3 linked regions of the Elephas maximus indicus genome follow. The protein of the gene in region 1 binds, or shares a complex with, the protein of each later gene. Links are inferred from orthologs where the notes say so. Each region holds a gene or a part of one and is shown in the gene's direction. Other genes may lie near its edges.

Region 1 (7,593 bases):
ACCTTCCTTCAGAGCCGACAGTCAGAGAAAGCCTTCCCCTGGAGCTGGCGCCCTGAATTCGGCTTCTAGGTTACTGGACTGTGAGAGAATAAATTTCTCTTTGTTAAAGCCAACCGCTTGTGGTATTTCTGTTATAGCAACACTAGATGATTAAGACAATGGGTCTTAATGAATGGGGAGGATTTTAACAAGTGTGAGGTCATTCTAGGGAGTTAAGAATAGACCTCAAGTGGGAAGAGAGGGAGCGACGATACAGAATTTATTTAGAGCAGAGGTTCTCAAACTTTTTGGTCTCAGAACCCCTTTACACTCTTCAAAATTATTGAGGACTCCAAAGAGCTTTTAATTATATGGATTATATCTACTGGTATTTACTGTATTAGATATTAAAATGGAGAAACAATGAAAATGCTCATTCTATTAATTTCCTATTGCTGCTATAACAAATCACCACAAATTTATCATCTTACAGTTCCGTAGGCAGGAGTGCAAACAGGCTTTCGCTGGGCTAAAATCACGGTGTTTGAAGGGCTGTGTTCCTTCTGGAGGTTCTAGGGTTGCTGTGAGTCAGAATCAACTTGATGGCAATGGGTTTTTTTGTTTGTTTGTTTTTAGGGGAGATCTCTTTCCTTGCCTTTTCCAGCTTGCAGAGACGGCTTGCACTCCCTGGCTCATGGTCTCCTTCCATCTTCAAAGCTGGCAATCACATCACTCTGACTTCTGCTTCCGCCATCACATCTCCTGCCTACTTCTTTCTCTCACAAGGACCCTTGTGATTACACTGGGCACAAGAGATAATTCAGGATAGTCCCTCAAGATCCTTACTTAATCATATCTGCAAAGTCCCTTTTGTCATACAAGGTAACACGTTCACAGGTTTCAGGGGCTAGGGCATGGGGATCTTTGTTGTTGTTAGTACCCATTGAGTCAACTCTGACCCATGGCAACCTCATGTATGACAGAATGAAACATTGCCCGGTCCTTCCCCACCTTCATGATTGTATGCTTGGGCTCATCTTCCAGCAGTGTATTAGACAATACTGTGTTGCGATCCATAAAGTTTTCTTTGGTGAATTTGCGGAAGTAGATCACCAGGCCTTTCTTCCTAGTCTTAGCCTGGCAGCTCCACTGAAATCTGTCCACCTTGGGTGACCCTGCTAGTGTTTGAAATATCAGTGGCATAGCTTCCAGCATCAAAACAGCATGCAAACCACCTCAGTACAACAAACTGATGGATGGTTGCTGGGACGTCTTTGGGGGGCCATTATTCTCCCTAGCGTGTGTACTCATTTTAAAATAACAATTATGAACTCATTACATGTTAACATGCTTTTATGAAAAATAACTATTTCAAAATAATAATTAATGGGAAGAGTGGTGTGAGGGTTAAGGCTGTGTGTCAACTTGGCTGGGCCATGAATCTCAGTGGTTTGGCAGTTAGGATGTAGTTTGGTAGCTATGTAATGATGTAATCACCTCCATGATGAGATCTGCTATAAGCAGCCAATCACTTGAAAGGGTGTTTCCTTGGGGGTGTGGCCTGCAGCCAATATATGTGGACTTCTCCGGCAAAGCTCTTGCTCGCTCTGGATCCTGCATCTGGCTTGTCATCATCTGACCTCCGGTTCTTGGGACTTGAGCTAGCAGCTTACCTGCCGATCTTCGGATTGTCAGCCCCTGCAGCTATGTCAGTGGAAACCTCCAGCCTGACCCACAGACTTGAGACTTTCCAGCCTCAACAACCGTGTGAGCCATTTCTGATATAAATCTCTCTCTCTCTCTATGTATATATATAAAACCAAAATAAATAAATAAACCCCTTGCCATCGAGTCAATTCTGACTTACAGCAACTCTACAGGAAAGTAGAACTAAGCCACAGGGTTTATAGGAATGACTGGTGAATTTGAACTGCCTACCTTTTGGTTTGCAGCTGTTAACTCTTAATCACTGTACCACCAGGGCCTATATATATGCTTCACTGGTTTTGCTTCTCTAGAGAGCCCAGCATAAGACAAGTGGCATTATTTTACCTTTTGCAAATCTCTTTAACGTCTAACTTAATAGAATACTAGATTATAAAATTTGATTCTACATTCAATGTGTTACAGTATCATATCATGTTGTTGTTAGTTGCCATCGAGTTGGCCCTGACTCATGGTGATCCAATGGATAACAGAAGGAAATGCTGCTGGGTCCTGTGCCATTCCCATGGTCGATTACGGACTGGATAACGTTCCATAGTGATCCACAGTTTTTACTGGCTGATTTTCAGCAGTAGATTCCCAGGCCTTTCTTCCTAGTCCATCTTAGTCTGGAAGCTCTGCTGAAACTTGTCCAGCATCATAGCAACACACAAACTTCCAGTGATAGATGGATGGTCTCTGGAAAAACTTTACTGTACACTAATGAGTTAATGAGAATTAAAAAGGCAAATAATTTATTATTGTGAAAACAGTTTTGATTTTGTGGATCTCCATGAAAAGGCCACAGGCTTCCCAGGGGGTCCCTAGCTCCCTTAGAGCCACTAAGATGGTTGGACTTCAGTTTATCTGGGATATAGGGTGTGTAAGTGGGTGACAGGTTTTGAATACAATTGCTGCCACCTTAATCTCCCAACTATAGCAGCTACTGTGAGTCCAAAGACATCTACATATGCTGGAAAAGTATATTGAGACTGTTTTGGACTGAACTGTGTCCCCCCAAAATATGTGTCAACTTGGCTAGACTATGATTCCCAGTATTGTGTTATTGTCCATCATTTTGTCATATGATGTGATTTTCCTATGTGTTGTAAATCCTATCTCTGTGATGTTAATGATGTGGGATTAGTGGCAGTTATGTTAATGAGGCAAGACTCAAGCTACAAGATTAGGTTGTATCTTAAATCAATCTCTTTTGAGATAGAAAAGAGAGAAGAAAGCAGAGAGACATGGGGACGTCATAACACCAAGAAACAAGAGCCAGGAGAGCAGCATGTCCTTTGGACCTGGGGTCCCTGCGGTAAGAGGCTCCTCGACTGGGGAAGGCTGATGATAGGGACCTTCCCCAGAGCTGACAGCGAGAAAAAGCCTTCCCCTGGAGCTGGCACCCTGAATTCGGACTTCTTGCTTCCCAAACTGTGAGAAAATAAATTTCTCTTTGTTAAAGCCATCCACTTGTGGTATTTCTGTTACAGCAGCACTAGATGACGACGACAGGCATTGCATAAAGGCTCACTGAAAGTTTCTGAACTAAGGAGTGATGTGATTTGAACCTCTGAGTTACTTTAGGAGAGTCCTGATAACAATACATCTTAAGATCTAGTAAGAAGCATGTCAAGGGTGAAGATTTAGGACTTAGGTGAAAGATTAGGAAACTACGCACAGAAATTAATTTCGGGGTTTGAGATAGTGAAGCCAGAGAGGCTGCTAATGATATCCAGCCTGAGGTGTTGCTGTGTCATACAGGGCTGGAGTAGAATGAAACTGCTCATTGGCACTGAGTTCAAGGCCAAGGTGTTAGAAAACGCGTCATGCTGGCATCGCCTAGCTTAACAGTGGTAGGCAGGATGGGGATGGGAAGACCGCAATTCAATTGCTGAAGTTGCTAAGGAAAAGAGAGACTGCTTGGAGGCCCTTAGGTGACAGAGATATGAAATAAAGCAAGTCTAATGTAATTACTAATCGACCTTAAAAGCATGGAGAATTTACAGACATAATTATTTTAGGTAATTTTCAAATCCATTTCTCCATTTTACAAGTGGGAGTAGTAGTGCCATCTATTCCTAGGGAGAACCCTATACTGTGATAAATGATCTCGTTAGACATTGAAAACGCTTTGCAAACACAATAGAAGATATACAAGCTATTCAATAGATATACAAGTTATTCAGTTTCTAGCATATTCTCATGGTAATAAAGATCACTAACAGTATTTGCATAACGGTGGCTATTTACCATGTATACGATTACAGACTCTGTGGGACTCTGTACAAGTTTCTGCAGACTTCTAACTCAGCCCACAGGCTGCAGCCAAAATTATCTAAAATAAAAACTTCATGAAGAAAACCGTGGTTTAGTCTGAAGGAGTAGAAGCCGCGGCCGTGCAGCCCAAAGAATCTGGGTTCCTATCTAGTGGTTAAGACCTATGGCTGCTAACCAAAAGGTCGGCAGTTTGAATCCACGAGGCGCTCCTTGGAAACTCTATGGGGGAGTTCTACTCTGTCCTACAGGGTCACGACGAGTCGCAATTGACTCGAGGGCAATGGGTGTGGTTTTGGGGGGTTACGCCTGCTCCGCCAGCGGTCACGTACGTGAACGACACATTCAGCACAACGCTGCCTCCGGTGTTCCTTCTCCCACCAGGAGCCCGAGCACGACCCGGAAGAAGTCGCCCCTTCCACCGCCTTCTCAGCAATCGTTTCCGACTCGCAAGGCCCTCTACTGCCTGAGTACCGCAGCCGGCTACTATCCCAGCGGGCGCGCTCTCCCAGAGCATCCTGGGCGGGGGCGTGGGAGGTGGGAGGGAGTGGGAAGGGCGGGGAAAAGGCTGCGCGTGCGCAGTGGAGTTCGCTGCTCTTCCTGTGATCCCGGCGCGGAGGAGCGACCCGGACGCAAACACGCACGCCCGCCCGCACGCACGCACGCACGCCCTCCCTCCCTTACTCGCGCCGCCGCGGCAGCTCCCGCCTACGCCCTTATTGCCGTCCGCCCGGCCGCCGAGATGCTGCGGGCCTGTCAGTTATCGGGCGTGACCGCTGCCGCCCAGGTGAGCGCGGGAGTGGGTGCCCCGCGAGAGCGCGTGAGGAAGCTGACTTGGGCAGACGGCAGAAAACGGGGGCGGCTTAGGCCTTGCGTAGGCCCCGGGACAAAGGCATATGTCAGAGTCGCCCTCATTATGAGAGTTCCGGGCGGACCCGTGAGGCAGTTAAGTGGGGTAGTTCGTCGGGCTGGGATGACTGAGGGTTATTGGTGAAGCGGGGTGAGGTGTGGAGGGAAGGTGGCGGGGAGGCGGGCGCAGGGAGGGGGGCGCGGCTTCGGGGACGTGTTATCCAATCAGCACCGATCTGCCCCAGTCAGGGACCAATCCTGGCTGCTGGCGCCCGGGTCGCCGGTTGGGCACGTGAAAGCGGTGGGTTCGCGCAGCCAGTGGTTGAAGGTCGAAGTGGGGAGAACTAGAGCTCCCGGCAGGACGTTCGTATCCTAGGCTTGTTGTCTGTAACAAGGAGGTGCCTGGACAGCTGGGATAAAGAGTATGTGGTTTGGGGGTGTGGTGTCAAGGTTGTAATGATCTGGAGGGACAGCTTTGCTTTTTTTTCCGTAGCAGAGAACACATCAGAGCTATTGTTACTGTAGACAAAACTGAAAGATTCTAGTTTATGAAGCTCAAACTTCTGGTGCTTGAGAGAGAACAGGAGTCATGACCTTGTGCCCATTTCTGAGGTTAGCCTGGGGATCTGTGTCCCCAGGTGCTGGTACGACTTTGGCTGACATTAGAGGAGCCTGGACACCTAAACCTCTTTTAGTTCTGCGTAATTATCAAAGTAGCATTCCAAATTAAAAATAAAAAAAAGGTAAGCCTATTTCCATTGCTCACAGTTTCAGAAAATTTATATTTTGGTTAAGTGTTACATTGCGAAACAGGTACTTGTGACTCTGGCATTAATTGAACAAATTCTCCAGGCATAGTGAATAAGATCATAAAAATAAAACTTCTTATTTTCAAGTTTGCTTCTCTATCCATTCGTTGCTGGGGGGATGAATGAGAAGCAGCAGCCTGATCTGTAGGAAAGCAGGGACTGTTAGTTTCTATTATTGCATTAAAAACTAAAACAAATTGGCAACTTAAAACAACTCTTAAGTATTATCTTACTGTTACTATAGGTTAAAAGTTGGCATGAATGAGCTGGTTCTCTGCTCAGGGTCACACAGGCTGCAGTCAAAGTGGTGACTGTGCTTGGTTCTCATTTGGAGCTCAGAGTCCTCTTCCAGGCTCATGTGCTTCGTTGGCTGAATTCAGTTCCTTGCAGCTGTAGAACTGAAGTTCCTTTTTTCTTGCTAACTGTCGCCACTGTGCTCGGGTCTTAGAGACTGCCTGGAGTTCCTTGCCATGAGGCCCCCACGGGAGGTACATAACGTGGATGTTTCCTTTCTTCTAGGCCAACAGGCGCTTGTCTTTCTGACTTTGAAATCTGTCTTAACTTTCCAGTCTCTGACCTCTAGACCCAAATTTAAAGAGCTTGTGTCAAGGCCCACCTGGTTAAGCTCCGTTTTGGTTAATTCAAAGTCAACTGGTTAGTAACCTGAATTACATCAGCTAAATCTCTCTTGCCCCATAACCCTAGTCATGAAGGTAACAGCAGGGGAATGGAGATTGTGGAGGCCATCATGGAATTCTGCCTACCACAGGACCCAAGTGGGGCTAGAAAGAGTGGAGGAAACAGAGCTGCCTTTCAGGACAGAACTGTTGAAGTTTGTCTTCGGAGCCAGTATGAACCCCCGCAGCAGCTCTGCAGAGGACAGGTCTGGTGATCCGCATCTATAAAAATCACAGCCAGGAAAACCCTGTGGAACAGTTCTACTCCCAACACATGGGATCGCCAGGAGCAGAATTGACTATATGGCAACAGAGCCCTTGTTTTTTTTTGTTTTGTTTTGTTTTTTAGTGACATGCTCTTCCTTATTCTGCCTTCAGGTTACATCAGAATTCTCACTGATTATCTCCTTTGTGTCCCCCCCTAAACTCCAAAATTACATTTTCCATTTCTTTATCAAAATACTTTGATACTTACTGGGATACCATTTAGGAACTACTTTTTCGTACTAAACTATGAACCCTTTTGTAACTCTAAACCAAAACGACTAATCTTCCTGAGATAGCGTCTTGTAAAATTTATTGGTTTATTCTCACCGTCTCCTTAGTCATTGTATATAACATTTCATGTTTTGCTTTGTGAAACTCTTTGCTGTTTTAGCTTCACTCACACAATATTTTGGCTTCCATCTTAACCTTTTGTTTCTCTCCTGTTTCCTTTATTGAGGCTGATGCTTCTTGTCCCTCTAAACGTAACCACGTTGCTTTTCTGTACTCTTTTACCTAGAGTTACATCAATACTCAGAACTTCAATCCCTAAGCACATGACTCTTCAGCCTTCTTTTTTGAGCTTTGTATTCACATTTCTGAATTCTTGTTTGATTTTGTCAATTTTGTCCAAAATATTCCAGTTGTCAAGATCCTTCCCATCAAACCCTTTCTTAAATATCTCCCTGCTTTTCCTGTCATCCTTCTAGAGTCAGTTCTTTATGTATTCCAAAACTAAACCCATTGCCATTGAGTCGATTCCAACTTATAGTGACCATACAGGACAGAGTAGAACTGCCTCATAGAGTTCCCAAGGAGCGGCTGGTGGATTTAAACTGCCAACCTTTTGGTTAGCAGTTGAGCTCTTAACCACTGTGCCACCAGGGCTCCAGTTCTTTATATAGTGGTTATTAAAGCCTTTTTTAAAAGCACGCAGATCATGTCATACCCTTTGGTGACATCCTGTCACACCCACAGGGCTCTTCCTAATTTAGTTCCTTGCATATTTCATTTTCTGTTCTACCTCACTGTTC
Region 2 (7,534 bases), on another chromosome or scaffold:
GTCTGTCAGTTTGTTGTACTGTGGGGTCCTGTGTGTTGCTGTGATGCTGGAAGCTATGCCACTGGTATTCAAATACCAGCAGGGTCACCAGTGGTGGACAGGCTTCAGCTGAACTTCCAGACTAAGACAGACTAGGAAGAAGGACCCGGCAGTCCACTTCTGAAAAGAATTAGCCAGTGAAAACCTTATGTGTTTTCAATTGCCTTGTATGCATGCGAAAGCTGGATAGTGAATAAGGAAGACCGAGAAGAACTGATGCTTTTGAATTGTGGTGTTGGTGAAGAGTATTGAATATACCATGGACTGCCAAAAGAAAGAAGAAATCTGTCTTGGAAGAAGTACAACCAGAATGTCCCTTAGAAGCAAGGATGGGCGAGACTATGTCTCACATACTTTGGACATGTTGTCAGGAGGGATCAGTCTCTGGAGAAGGACATCATGCTTGGTAAAGTACAGGATCAGCAAAAAAGAGGAAGACCCTGGATGAGATGGATTGACATAGTTGCTGTAACAATGGGTTCAAGCATAGCAACAAATGCGAGGATGGCACATGACTGAGCAGTGTTTCATTCTGTTGTGCATAGGGTCAATATGAGTCGGAACTGACTTGGCCCCTAACAACAACAACAACATATAGTGCTAAGTGATCTTTGTCAAGCAGAACGGTCGTCGCAGCCCACCCTATGACATGGCACAACATATACAACGTGAGCACTCTTGGAAAAGATAAGCAGGAGCCAAAGATAGATGGTGTTAGGAATTGAATTGTGTCCCCCCATCCCCCGCAAAAAAAAAAAAAAAAGAATATGTTGAAGTCTTAACCCTTGTATGAGTGAAACTGACCTTGCTTGGAAATAAGGTCTTTGAAGATGTTACCAGTTGGCATGTGCTCATAAATACTTTGGGTCCTGATTCAGTCTGAGTGACGGCCATATAAAAGAAGAGACACACCACTTGGCTGTCCCTGATACACTGGGGGAGAGTGTAGGACGAGTAGATGAGAAGAAGGAGTACAAACAGAAAGAACGTGACATGGGATGATAAGCCAGCACTGGGGAGAGAGACCAGGAAAGGCAACCATGTGCCAGCGGAGGCAGAGATTGTAGAAGGCAGAGCTGTAAGCCAAAGAATGCTAGGGACAACTGGCTGTCACAGAAGCTAGGACAGAGGCATGTAATGGATTCTCCCACAGAAGGAATCAACATGGCGGATATCCTGGTTTCAGACATCTAGCCTCCAGACTGGCAAGACTATATATTCCGTTCTTATAAGCCACCCACTTTGTGGTACTTTGTTACAGCAGCCCTAGGGCAGTGGTGCAGAAGGAGAGGTTCCTAAGACGTGGGAAAACTTGACCTCATGCTGTTCTTAGATGCACAGGCAGCATAGTGATCAGCTCTACTCCAACAGTGATGGAGTGTGGGAGACCATGTGATTTGTGCCCTCAAGGTGGAGGGTTACTGTTATAGTGTAGCTGTGATTGTCTTGTTTGCTGACTGGTTCATGCTATTTTGAATCTTTGCATCTCCTCAAGTGTGCTGCCCAAAATTCTTCTTCTCAGAAAATGTCACACAAGCACATACCTGTGCACACACACACACAAATTGAGAACCGCTGCTTTGGGGCTGCACTGCTTTTCTCTGATTCTCTGTACAATAATTGGTGTAAAAAGTTTGAAGGCTGATATTCAGTTATGGGTTGTGGAATAAGCCTGCATCCATATTCTCAGAATATCTTTGTATCGATTGTCCACACTACACATGAAGTACTTTTCGGTGATTTTAATTGGTTTGCTATAACTTTTTTTTTTTTTTTTAATAACTATGGCAACTATATGTCCTAGATTTTCAAGGATGACCTGATTTCAAGGACTGGTTCAATTGTCTCTCTAAGTACACAAATAATAGTGAGAACATATGCTCCAATCTTTAGTTCAGAAAATATGATCATTACAACTATATTCTATTTCAGCAAAGGCCAGAGTATGAGTGCTCTATCATCCAGCTGAAATGCTACTCACAAGAGCTGGGAAGAGGGCTATGATGAACACACTGATTAGCTTTACTAGCTGGAGACCAGGACCGCTCTCTTCTCTGACACCTCATCATCCCATGTGTCTTATTTATCTAGAGATGCTATAACAGAAATACCACAAGTGGATGGCTTTAACAAACAGAAATTTATTCTCTCACGGTTTTTTGTTGTTGCTGTTAGGTGCCATTGAATTGGCCCTGACTGATAGCAGCCGTATGTACTACAGAATGAAAGACTGCCGAGTCCCGCAACATGTTCACAATCATTGTTTTGCTTGAGCCCATTGTTGCAGCCACTGTGTCAGTCCATCTCTTTGAGGGTCTTCCTCTTTTTGCTGACCCTCTACTTTACCAAGCATGATGCCCTTCTCCAGGGACTGATTCCTCCTGATAACATGCCCAAAGTACGTGAGACGTAGTCTCGCTATCCTTGCTTCTAAGCAGCATTCTGATTGTACTTCTTCCAAGATAGATTTGTTTGCTCTTTTGGCAGTCCATGATATATCCAATATTCTTCGCCAACACCACAATTCAAAAGAATCAATGCTTCTTTGGTCTTCCTTACTCATCGTCCAGCTTTCTCATGCGTATGAGGCGATGGAAAACACTTAAGGTTTTCACTGGCTAATTCTTTTCAGACTGCTGGATCCTTCTTCCTAGTCTTTTCTTAGTCTGGAAGCTCAGCCGAAGCCTGTCTGCCACTGGTAACCCTGCTGGTATTTGAATGCCAGTGGCATAGCTTCCAGCATCACAGCAACACACTACCCACAGTACAAGAAACTGACAGACAGGTGGAGAAATATTATCATAGTAGGCATTTTTCCAGGAGTAAGGTGTATCTTTTTTAAAATTTTTATTCAGAAGGCTTCTTTGTGATGATGTTAGTTGAAATGGAGTAGGAATTCTAAATATTTTTAGGTTTCCCGACAGGATAACTGACTTGCTTCTGTTCTCTAAACAGTGAAAGCATCACACCACCATCTTCTGAGGCTTAACCTTCATTATCTTTAGTATATTTGGTTGAAAGAGCTCATTTAAATTCTAAGAAGATAAATATCTCCAAGGTAACTAGCAGTTCCTTCATCCCTCTCTACTCTCTCCAAGAAATGCTTTCTTTGTAAGTAGTTACTGCATCCCGTCGGTGCTACGCATTGGGGTAATAAGTGAGGGTTTGTTTGTGGAGAGGGAGATTCCAAAGGAATGAAAGACATAATTCCCGGGGCTTTTGGTTCCCTGTAGAAGTAAAGTTTAAAGGTACTATACAATTTGAGAGTAAGTACAAAGTAACATGTAGTCTCAAACTGCAATGTAACATCGTACGATTTGGATACATATATGAAGAGACAAACAAAATGATGAGGTGTAATCAATTCAACACTCTGCTACTGACCAGAGATACCCATGGCTGTCGAGTCCATTCAACTCATAGCAACCCTATAACGCAGAGAAGAACTCCCCTATAGGGTTTCCAACGCTGTAATATTTACAGAAGCAGACTGCCACATGCTTCTCCTGTGAAGCCGCTGGTGTGTTAGGACCACCTGCCTTTCACTCAGCAGCCTAGTGCTTAACCACTGGACCACCAGGGCTCCGGCCTGGGGTACAGAGATAAAAAAGAGGTACTTTCTGCTGTAAAGATTCTTATAGTAATAGATAAGCATACAATTGAAGCTCAAAAACGTTACCGCATTGCTGTGGGTGCCTTCGGCATAAGAGGACTGCCACATCGTGTGTGACCCACTGACTTCCAAGTGAAGGAGACACAAATGTGGGAAATAAATGCTCGGGGTGCTTGGTGCAAACAACTTATTTTTCTGTTTTCTCATACGCAGATTTGAAAGCCATAATGTTTTAATTTCTTTTATTTATAATAAGATGTAAAAGAAGTACATAGTTCATGCGATAAGCCCATAGGCCAAATACAGTTCAAAAAAATTTTTTTTCATAACTAAGACTAAAATAAAGAACTGCTAAGTTTTGCCTCAGGGAGTTTTTAAAATAGGAATCTAGGCAGGGCTCCATTAGGAGAGTGCATCTCCCACATTAAACCGTGAGTTCCTTTGGGACAGAGTTGTGTCTTTAACTCACAAGCCTAAGTTTCTAGAATAATGTCTGGCATACAGCACGCCTTCAAAGCATGTTCGTTAAAAAAAAATAGAAATTTTTTTTTTTTTTTTTTAGGGTAGGAAAACTTCATTGAAAGCTGCCAGTTACAAGCCTTTCCTGCCGTCAAGACTACAACTCCCAGAATGCCATGTTCCCTTTGCGCTCTTGGGACGAAGCTGAGGACGCTCCACCACTCACCTCACTAGACCGAAACTACAATTCCCACTATACTCAGGGGTTCCGGAAGCCTTGTTAAACACTACCTGTTGCCATAGCATCCGGGTCCGGACCGACCAACCCGGATGCCCGCGCCTTGTGGAGACGGGCCTTTCTCAGTTCTGACCAACCGGAGGCAGGTTTGCTGTGGCACGTGACCGGAGGGGGCGGGGACTCAGGACCGGCGCCTTCTCCTTGCTCTTTGGGGTCGTGGCCTTGCTCCTGCTGTGCACGGGAAGTGTGCGGGCACCTCCACGCGCGTATGTGAGCGTGGTGCCTGCAGTGCTTGTGAGTCCTCGCTAGGTCGCTGCGCGAGCAGACGCGGGAGCCATGGGCGGGACGGCTAGCACCCGCCGGGTCACCTTCGAGGCGGACGAGAATGAGAACATCACGGTGGTGAAGGGCATCCGGGTGAGTGAGCGGGGCGGGCAGAGCGCAAGCACTCGGACTCAGACCCCGAAGCCTGTGCTCTCGGGACCCGCAGCCCTTGTCCAGCGTCCCAGCCTTCAGTGTTGCCCGGGGAGAAGGCCGGAGTTTCACAACTTGGGACCTCCACTGGGAAAGTAGTTTCTGCTTGTGTACAAGTGCTAGGCACTGTGCTGGGGCGGGTGGGCTGCCAGGTTGAATGGGACCCTCCAGGGGCGCGCAGCCTCGTCTTGACTGTACTTCTCACTAGTTGCGGGACTTTATTTGCAACCTCTGACTGTACTTATTTGTGAAACGGGTCTTTTCTTATGCCTCCTGGTTTCAGGACCCAAACTCTGCTTTTCTGTTGCCACATCACCCCTCTCAGGGCAAATTGGCATTTTAAGGAGCCTCTTTATTTGTGCTTTGTCATCTAGTGTTCTCCCTCTGATACAACCCCCTCCCTCCAACATACACCCCCACACCCCCACACTTTTCTGGCTGTCCTCTGGTGACTTCTGCCTTCTTGACTTTCACTTGATATCTGTCTTTCCCAGGCGCCTTCTCTGTGACCTGCCCTGCTTGAGTCTTGAATTAGGCCCGGTGCTTCAGGACTAATGCCTGCCAGCCTGATTCATTGGCTAGAGGTTGAGATTTGCAGTTTTTCAGACCACTAGAAGTCATATGGAAACCCTGGTGGGTAGTGAGAAGAGCTACAGCTGCTAACCAAAAGGTTGGCATTTCAAATCCACCAGGCACTCCTTGGAAACCCTATGGGGCAGTTCTACTCTGTCCTGTAGAGTCACTATGAGTTGGAATCGGTTCAGTGGCAACGGGTTTGGTTTTTTTTTTTTTTTTTTTGGTAGACGTCGTATTCCCAGTTCTAGATCAAGATATTGTAGGGAAGTTTTTCTTAATTTTTATGCCTTCTGCACGTGCTTGATACATAAACTGAAAACTTGATTTTTCTCCAGGGTGTCTGTCAGTATGCCAGCACTAACTTGATAAACACTCTTCGCTGCACCTGACTTTGGAGCCTCACATTTTTGGAAGTATGATGCCTGAACCTAGTAAATAAAGCAGTCTTGACTTCAGGAAGTTTTATAATATTTTATATGCTTCTTCATCTGTTATTGCACAGCCAGTATAAGTAAATTAAATGTGTAAATTGTTTTTAGCATTTGTTACTAGGAAATAAAGCCTCATAAATATTTAAAGTGTTTAAAAACTTTCTACTCTGAAACTGTTACCTGGAAAACATTTATTAAAGTTTTCTTTTTAGAAACTCAAGACTGTTGAACTCTATTTTTGGCCTGTGGCCAGCCTGCCTTATTAACGGTAGTACCACATTTTGTAATAAAATAATCCGAGGCTGCATTCTTTGCGTTATTGTGGTTTAGTTGGTACTCTTCGGAGTCAAATAAAAATTACTGTAAACCTTGAGTTTTAAGCAGAGGTTTGTTTAATCTTGCTTTTAGGCCTTTGGTGTTCCACACCAGAGAGTAGAAGTAAGAAAAAATACAGTAAATTTTGGGTAAGAAGACAATGAGTAGACAAATCTGTAAATCTGCATTCTCATGCTTTAGTTCAGATAGTGGTGGTCGCAAACAAAACCGAAAGACAATTTGGCCACAGTGCAGACATTCATATGAAATGTTAGATGCACAAGGCTGAATAGGATAAATATGACAGTAGGGCTAGGTGATAGATTAAAATGGAAAGATTGTTTAAAAAACCTTTTTTTTTTTTTAAATAAACTGTGTCCCTTGGACACTAAAATTGACAGAAGCATTCCTGCATTCTTTATTGTTTTCATTCTCATACATTATATCTTATCTGCATTGAAAAAATTCAAGCACATGCCATACTCGTTTTGATCGCCGTGCTTTCCTTCAGAATATACCCTTCACCTGGAATGCCCTTGGACTATGCCCTGTTCCTTCAAATCCTTTTTCAAGGGTGACTTGAAATCTCTCTGAGCCTCAGCTTTCTCATCTGCTAAATGTATGCCTCTGAGGACCTCTCATCTTTTCTTGTTTTGACTATGAGTCTAGTTGTGCTCTAAGTTTCTTGTAGCCATACTCAGCCCATTGCTGTTTTCTCTACAATGGCAAGCTATTGAATTGTTGAGTACTCAGAGTCCATTCTGATATCTTGGAGGTCATGGTAAAAAGAGCATGAATTTGGAGTTAAACAAACTTCAGTTTAATTTTCTAGCCTTTTGGCCATGGACAAATCACTTCTCTGATTCTTTCTTTATCCCTAGGGGGAATACCATCACTTATGTTAATTAATTGAGGTAAGAAGATGATAGGATTCCTTCAGTATCTAAAGTTCAAAGACTCTTTGGAAGTGTTGTGTAGTGTTGGGGAGGCAGCATGTGCTTTGGAGCCAGGCAGACCTGGTTTGGATCCTAACTCTGCTTCTCAGTAGCTGTGTGGCCCTGGACAAATCACTTTTGTTTTAAATTTTATTGTGCTTTAAGTGAAAGTTTACAAATCAAGTCAGTCTCTCACACAAAAACCCATATACACCTTGCTACACACTCCCAATTACTCTCCCCCTAATGAGACAGCCCGCTCTCTCCCTCCACTCTCTCTTTTCATGTCCGTTTCGCCAGCTTCTAACCCCCTCCATCCTCTCATCTCCCCTCCAGGCAGGAGATGCCAACATAGTCTCAAGTGGACAAATCACTTTTGATTGTGTTTCGTTGTTCAGTGTATCTGGAGAATGCAACCTGCTTGTGAGATTTGTGGGAGCCCTGGTGGCATAGT
Region 3 (7,222 bases), on another chromosome or scaffold:
GTTATCTAATTTTGAAACACTAGTTCCTGGTGAATCTGAGGAACTTATTTTCCTTAGAATTTCCACAGTTGTTTCCTGGTCTTTTTCTGAGTGTTGGTTATCTGATTTTGGAACATCAGTACCTGGTGGGTCTGAAGAACTCATTTTCCTTAGATTTTTCACAGTTGTTTCCTGGTCTTTTTCTGAGTGTTGGTTTTCTGATTTTGGAACACTAGTACCTGGTGGACCTGAGGAAGAACTCATTTTCCTTAGATATTTCACAGTTGTTTTCTGGCCTCTTTCTGAGTATTGGTTATCTGATTTTGGAACACTAGTACCTGGTGGACCTGAGGAAGAACTCATTTTCCTTAGATGTTTCACAGTTGTTTTCTGGCCTCTTTCTGAGTATTGGTTATCTGATTTTGGAACATCAGTACCTGGTGGGTCTGAAGAACTCATTTCCCTTAGATTTTTCACAGTTGTTTCCTGGTCTTTTTCTGAGTGTTGGTTTTCTGATTTTGGAACACTAGTACCTGGTGGACCTGAGGAAGAACTCATTTTCCTTAGATGTTTCACAGTTGTTTTCTGGCTTCTCTCTGAGTATTGCTTATCTGATTTTGTAACACTAGTACCCGGTTGATCTGAAGAAGAACTCATTTTCCTTAGAATTTCCACAGTTGTTTTCTGCTCTTTTTCTGAGTGTTGGTTATCTGACTTTGGAACACTGGTACCTTGCTGATCTGAGGAAGAACTCATTTTCCTTACAATTTCCACAGCTGTTTCCTGATCTTTTTCTGAGTGTCGGTTATCTGATTTTGGAACATCAGTACCTGGTGAATCTGAGGAAGAACTCATTTTCCTTAGCATTTCCACAGTTTTTTTCTGTCCTTCTTCCGAGTGTTGGTTATCTGATTTTGGAACACTAGTACCTGGTGGACCTGAGGAAGAACTAATTTTCCTTAGATGTTTCACAGTTGTTTTCTGGCCTCTTTCTGAGTGTTGGTTATCTGATTTTGGAACACTAGCACCTGGTGGACCTGAGAAAGAACTCATTTTCCTTAGATGTTTCACAGTTTTTTTCTGGCCTCTTTCTGAATGTTGGTTTTCTGATTTTAGAACACTAGTACCTGGTGGATCTGAAGAAGAACTCATTTTCCTTAGAATTTCCACAGTTTTCTGGTTGTTTTCTGACTCTTGGTTATCTGATTTTGGAACACTAGTACCTGGTGGATGCGAAGAACAACTCATTTTCCTTAGAATTTCCACAGTTTTCTGGTCGTTTTCTGACTCTTGGTTATCCGATTTTGGAACACTAGTACCTGGTGGATCCGAAGAAGAACTCATTTTCCTTAGAATTTCCACGGTTGTTTTCTGGCCCTTTTCTGAGCATTGGTTATCTGATTTTGGAACACTAGTACCTGGTGGATCTGAGGAAGAATCCATTTCCCTTACAATGAAGTAACCTGAAAGTACATAAATTAATCCTTTAAGGTCATAATCTATATTATTACATTGTCTGAACTAGACTCAAGTGCCATATTATTGTTGTCCTAATTCCAGAACCCTTTAAAAAGGAACAAATCATGGATCTCTTAATATTGCTTATAGTTCACATTCTTTGTGTACTAAAATAGTATGTGGGTTTGGTTTTTTTTTTTTGGTTATATGGAAAAGACAAGTGGATTTATCAGTAGCTTTGCAACTGGTCTCCCTGTCTCCAGTCTCTTCCTCCTCCTAGTCATCCTCAACACTGCAGCTGCAATTAATTTTTTAGAGCAGTAATTCAACCTTATCACTTCTCAACTTGAAATGTTTCAGTGACACCTCATTTCCTCCAAGATGAAGCCCAAACTCCTTAGAATGGGTTCAAGTCTTTTCAGTTTTGCTCCATTCTCTCAATTTTAAAACACCTTTCACCAGCCTTCCTTTCTACACTCTGAAAGAACCAAGAACTTCTTGCCAAAATCGGTCAATGTTTTACATCTCTGTACCTCTGATCATGCCATTTCCTCTACTGACAATGACCTTCCTACCACCAGCAAATACTAATTCATCCTTTAAGACCCCAGCTAATTGATGCCTCTTCCCTGAAATTTCCCCTTTCTCTTTTTTTTACGGAACTACTTACTCCTTTCTCCAAGGTCCCATTATATTCTGTACATACTTCTTTTATAGTACTTCTCATATTGCATTAAAATTTGTTTTCTTGGCTGTCACTCCAACAAGCTCATTGAGGGTAGGAGGCATCTTACTATGAAATATGCAGTACCTAAAAAAATTTTTTTTTTAGCAGAGTAGATTTTTACATGCTTGTCTGAAAATGTTTTATCACCAAATAGCTGTGAGACTTGGAGCAAGTTATTTAACTTCTCAGTGGCTCAGTTCTCTCCTTGGTAAATTGATGTGTGTACTAAATTATCTGATTCCACATCCAACCTTCCAGCCTTTGAAGCGTTAATCCAATTTGGATGCAGGTCCCAAATTCTTAGTAACTGCTTAATCCGTTCTGTTAAACCAGGGGCTTTTTATCTTTTTATTTGGTGCCATGAATCTCTATGGATAGACACCCTCTAAGAATTGTTTTTTGATGCATAAATAAAATACATAGGATTACAAAGGACTTCAGTTATACTGAAATCATTGTCGAAATATTTTGAAAAACAAAATTATGATACATTAATGTGCCTTCTGCATATGCATTAAATAAAATGGGATATCTAATAACTACTGTACTTTCAAAGCAGTAATGAGCATAAATGGCATCTCAAGATATCTGCCATGAGTGTAATGTGATATGAAAATATCTGTTTTCTATTGATGACAAAAGTGATAGGTACTGCTAATACTACTGTGCCTTTTCATCTACACAATAACTGAAAGAAACGCTAAAGTTCAGTTAGAGGTTAGTGAGGGTAAAGTTGTAATTTTTTCTCCATCCAAAGTCACATAACCCCTGAATTAAGAACTGTTGCACTAAGTTATTGTTATGCCTTACACTCTTATATTTGTGTAAGATTACATTACCAGTGCAGAGCCTTCATCTGTTCAGTATTTCTCCTTAGGGATGAGGATGGCCTGGAATATACAATTCTCCTGAGAAAGAAAAAAGCAGCCCTTAACATCTGAAAGCTGTCCTGGCCGGGCCTCAGTGTTACCCCCACATCCTGATAGCATCCAATCCAGAGCAAAGTCTGCTTCTTTAAACTCACCCCCAAATCACCCAACCAAAGCCCAAATCCTATAACAAATCTAACACCCTCTTACTGGGATGTTCCACTGTTCCCCAAGGTGTGTGTCCTCCGTCACAGTTATGAGAAAATAAACCCAACTTGTTCAACCACAGGTATATTCCTAGTGGTCTTTGGCTGCAGGGCAGTTACATGTCACTGCACACCGCCCAAATCTAAGGAATGCCCGCCTAGATGGGGCTCAGTTTTTACAGGATTAGAATGTGAACTACAGAGTGAAATGTGAACTACACCCCAATTATGAAACAGTATAACAATTCTTTAGGCTAGCCCAAAAGCTAGAGCACAAGCTTTAAAGCCAGACTCACTGGGTTGTTTGGATCTTGGCTTCCTACTTTTCATCCCTGTGGCCTTACGCAAGTTTCTTCTCTATGCCTGTTTCCTCAGCTATAAATTGGGAATAATAATCGTGCCCACCTACTTGGGTTGTTGGAAAGATTAAATAAGCATATGTCAAAGGCTTATAGCTCAGAGCTGGGCACACTATGTTTGCTATTCTTGTTAATAAGATAATTATGACCTTTATCTCTACTAGTAGTAAGGGATACACATGATTCCTAGTGAGGAGCTTACACTTAAGCATCTTAAAAAGAAAAAAAAAAATGCCTTTCACGACTAAAGGGAGTGGCAAATTCGTTTAAACTTAAAACCTTAGAAATGTGAACCCCACTGTAAAAACCTGAAAACCTTTGTGAGGTAAATCCAGTCCTCTGAGGATGGCGGCTTCCGGCTGCGAAGCTTTCGAAGCTTCCAGAGACCCGCCGAGCGCCCCCGCCCGGCGGCCTCCGAGCACAGGCTGCCCGGTCCACACCTCGCGGTTCCCAACCGCTGCGGCCGAGCAGGCCGACGCCCGGCACCTCCCTCCGCGCGCCCCCGCGTTCCTGCCACACAAAGCCGCGCTTTCTCGTTGCCTAGCAACAGCCGGCGCAGGGGCGGAGCCTCGAGGGGGCGGGGCTTGTGTGCGCTAGCAGGTGGGCCGTGACTAGCTGCAGCTCAGCTACGTTGCTTCCAGCCCCGAGTGGTTAGCTAAGCCTTCGCTGGATCGGATCGAGTCAGCGGCACAGCCGTCGCCTGCACCGCAGTCCATTCGCGGTCGGCGGAAGCCGGGCCCTACCGGGCCGCCGTAGCCTCCTCTCTGCAGTGGGCGGGGCCGAGGCCGGGGTGACCCCGCCGGAGCCGCGGCTGCCAGCGACATGTTCAAGGTGAGAGCGCGGAGCCCGGGCAAAGCTGTCACCGCCCCCTCCCGGTCGCACGGAACTCTCCCCGGCGCTCTTGTGGGCCTCTTCGGGACCAGACTCTGCTCGCCCAGAGGCTTTTCCCGCCTCCGGGCTGGTTGTGTCCTGGCCCGCGGTTCATTCACCGGTCCGCGTGGGGCAAGCGATTGCCGGCGGAAGCTCGAGCGTGCCGCCGCATCTGTGGCGCGCGTGGGGCGTCCTGCGCTGGGACCGAGGCTGGCGAAATCCTGGGTTGGGTGGGGGCGGCCATTTGGGTTGTGCTGTGGTGAATAAAACATTTTTGAAAAGTTAAAGTATCCAACCCCTTCCTCTGGCTGGCGCCCGCTTAGAAGCGTGGCTAGGTCGAGGCCAGCACCGCGCACTGCAGAGGTTGGTTTTGGTTGCCAGGCTGGGTCCGGTTTCAGAACCAGGTGTGTGTGGGGTTGGGAGGGTCACCTTCCGAGAAGGTGCTACAGGGTGTGGGGGAGGCTGAAGTGGGAGTAGCTGTGTAAGGAGGAAAGCTGGAGTTTTGCTCTGCTCCCCGATGAACTTAATATAGACAAGTCGATTCCCTTTACATTTTATGGACTGGTGTCGTTTGCAAAAAACTGACTTTTACAGTGAAAACTTTGTTGCGAAAACCTGCATTTTAACAAAGCTACGTTAAAAAAAGTAGGTGATTTTTTTTGTCATGGAAAACAAATCGAAGGCTACCAAAAACCTACAAAATTGAGCCATCAAGTAGTACTCATAAGAAAGTACCAATGAAACCTAAAAATTGTACTAATTTATTATCAGCGTTATCTTATTTTGCATGAGCTGTGGGTAGGGCTTTGAACTGGTGCAGTCAAACTTGGGTGAGGCAGAATGAGAGAAATTACGGGTCGAAGCCCTGGAATGGGAGACTTGAAATAGACATAGTGAGCCCTTACAGGAGCCTGATGCAGGAGATTGGATTATTGCCAGGACTATGGAGAGCCACACACATTCAAAGTGGTGCAGTTGGCCTCCGTGTTTGAGCCACATGGCTGTTTCCAAATTATGTGGTCAAGAGATTTGGTGGTTATGCAATGTGCTTGCTGCCCTTGTTTTCTAAGAGGGGGATTAAGTTTCTAGCAGGGCTATGACCAGTAATTTTTCCCATTCTGCTTATCGTTCCGTTTCACCTACATTTTAAAACTTGGGGTTCATTCAGGTTTTGCTTAGTTGGCCATGACTGAACCAGGCAGAACTTGCTGGAAGCACTGGCTGTGGGTTGGTTGGGCAGTTCTGCTAGTGTCCCCCAATGGCTGAATTTAGTGGTGACTGGACTGAAAGGTGGCCTCACACATGTCTGGATACTTGGCGCCCCTCCATATGTCTAGCTTGGGCTTCCTCGCATGGTTGCTGGGCTCCAAGAGGACAAGTCCCAGTGTGCAAACACTTAAAAAGCCTTTGCTTGCATCACATTTGCTGGTGTCACAGCAAGTCACATGGCCAAGCTAAGAGTCAGTGTGGGGAGAGTACAAAAGGGCATGGTTACCAGGAGATGTGATTCATTGGGGACCATTAATCTATAAGCTACTACAGCAGCAAACCACAGTAGTTCTAGCAGTACCTATCACCAGTAGAAGTCACAGTACCAATGCCCATTACAGTTGTTGCAGGTCTCAACATATCATTTATTCTCATCACTACTTCAAAATCACAGTAGTTGCAAGACCCACTGCTAGATCTGTGTATTTAAAGAGCTAATAAAGAAGCACATACACTATATCAGACATTTAGGTTTTAAGAGTATTTTTATAAGTATTTCAATATAATTGGTATTTTATGCAATTAGAAGCATTAGAAGGGGTCTATAGGGCCCAACAGACTGCCAGAGATGTTCATGGCACAAAAAAAGCAAGGAACCCTTGGAGTCTTCAGGGAGAGTGTCACAGAGGAGACATTTAAATTTAGTTTCGAAAGACAAGTAGGAGTTCTTCAGGTAGATGAGCTGGAGAACATCATCAACAGTGGTACTCCATCGGGGGAGGTGCGAGTGGCTCAGTTCTGCTTTGTCAAGGGAGACATGCAGTGAACTGTAATTGTTCCAAGTGAACATATAGTGTGAGTAGAAAAGATCACAACAAACCTTGAACACCAAAATGCAAGGAGTAGGCAGAGGAAGAGGGGAGACCAGAAATGGAGTGGCAACTTTTGAGAAGTAGAAGTAGGAGCAGAAGAAAGTGATGTTTAGAAAATCAAGGGAGGGAGCTGCTAATAATGGAAAATCTGACCACTTAAAATAATAAAATGATCTCACAAAGTCCAGAGGAAAGGTTGACTCCAGGTTCATTATAATGGGTCAACAGTGTCATCAAGGACTCAGTCTCTTTTCTTGGCTTTCCACAGTAAAATTGGTTCCCCTCACGGTGGCAGAATGACCGACCATAGCATACATGCTTTCTTATTCATTAGAAAAAGAAAACTTCCCTAAGCTTGGATTATGCCCGTCCTTACACATGGAGTCTCCGTGGGTCAGAGGGAATCAACCCCATGGCAACTGGTAACTGTTCAGTCTGATTGGACCAATTTAGGTCAGGTGTCTGTTCCGGAACCAGTAGCAGAATGTAGTGCTTTGATTGGCTTAATCAGGCTCAATTCCTTGGGATGGAGTCACTTTACCTTAATCATGAACAAAATGGAGTGGTTAAGAGCTTGGCTGCTAACCAAAAGATAAGCAGTTCAAATCCACTAGCCACTCCTTGGAAACCCCATAGGATAGTTCTACTGTGTCCTGTAGGGACACTGTGAGTC

The links. The genes of interacting proteins can lie anywhere in the genome.
Region 2: IMMT (region 1) and CHCHD3 share a complex: the UniProt entries of both Homo sapiens proteins name them as parts of the mitochondrial contact site and cristae organizing system (MICOS) complex. The link is inferred for Elephas maximus indicus from reciprocal best matches to the Homo sapiens genes IMMT and CHCHD3.
Region 3: IMMT (region 1) and APOO share a complex: the UniProt entries of both Homo sapiens proteins name them as parts of the mitochondrial contact site and cristae organizing system (MICOS) complex. The link is inferred for Elephas maximus indicus from reciprocal best matches to the Homo sapiens genes IMMT and APOO.

What each region holds. Positions count from the first base shown.
Region 1 is NC_064835.1:48,315,555-48,323,147, forward strand, and holds the start of IMMT (MICOS complex subunit MIC60), read left to right. Parts: upstream 1-4,583; 5' UTR 4,584-4,702; coding exon 4,703-4,747; intron 4,748-7,593. UniProt on the Homo sapiens protein: Component of the MICOS complex, a large protein complex of the mitochondrial inner membrane that plays crucial roles in the maintenance of crista junctions, inner membrane architecture, and formation of contact sites to the outer membrane.
Region 2 is NC_064826.1:16,742,175-16,749,708, forward strand, and holds the start of CHCHD3 (MICOS complex subunit MIC19), read left to right. Parts: upstream 1-4,521; 5' UTR 4,522-4,685; coding exon 4,686-4,766; intron 4,767-7,534. UniProt on the Homo sapiens protein: Component of the MICOS complex, a large protein complex of the mitochondrial inner membrane that plays crucial roles in the maintenance of crista junctions, inner membrane architecture, and formation of contact sites to the outer membrane.
Region 3 is NC_064846.1:155,243,860-155,251,081, forward strand, and holds the start of APOO (MICOS complex subunit MIC26), read left to right. Parts: upstream 1-4,209; 5' UTR 4,210-4,420; coding exon 4,421-4,429; intron 4,430-7,222. Other genes in the region: CXHXorf58 (uncharacterized protein CXorf58 homolog), read right to left, coding at 1-1,422. UniProt on the Homo sapiens protein: Component of the MICOS complex, a large protein complex of the mitochondrial inner membrane that plays crucial roles in the maintenance of crista junctions, inner membrane architecture, and formation of contact sites to the outer membrane.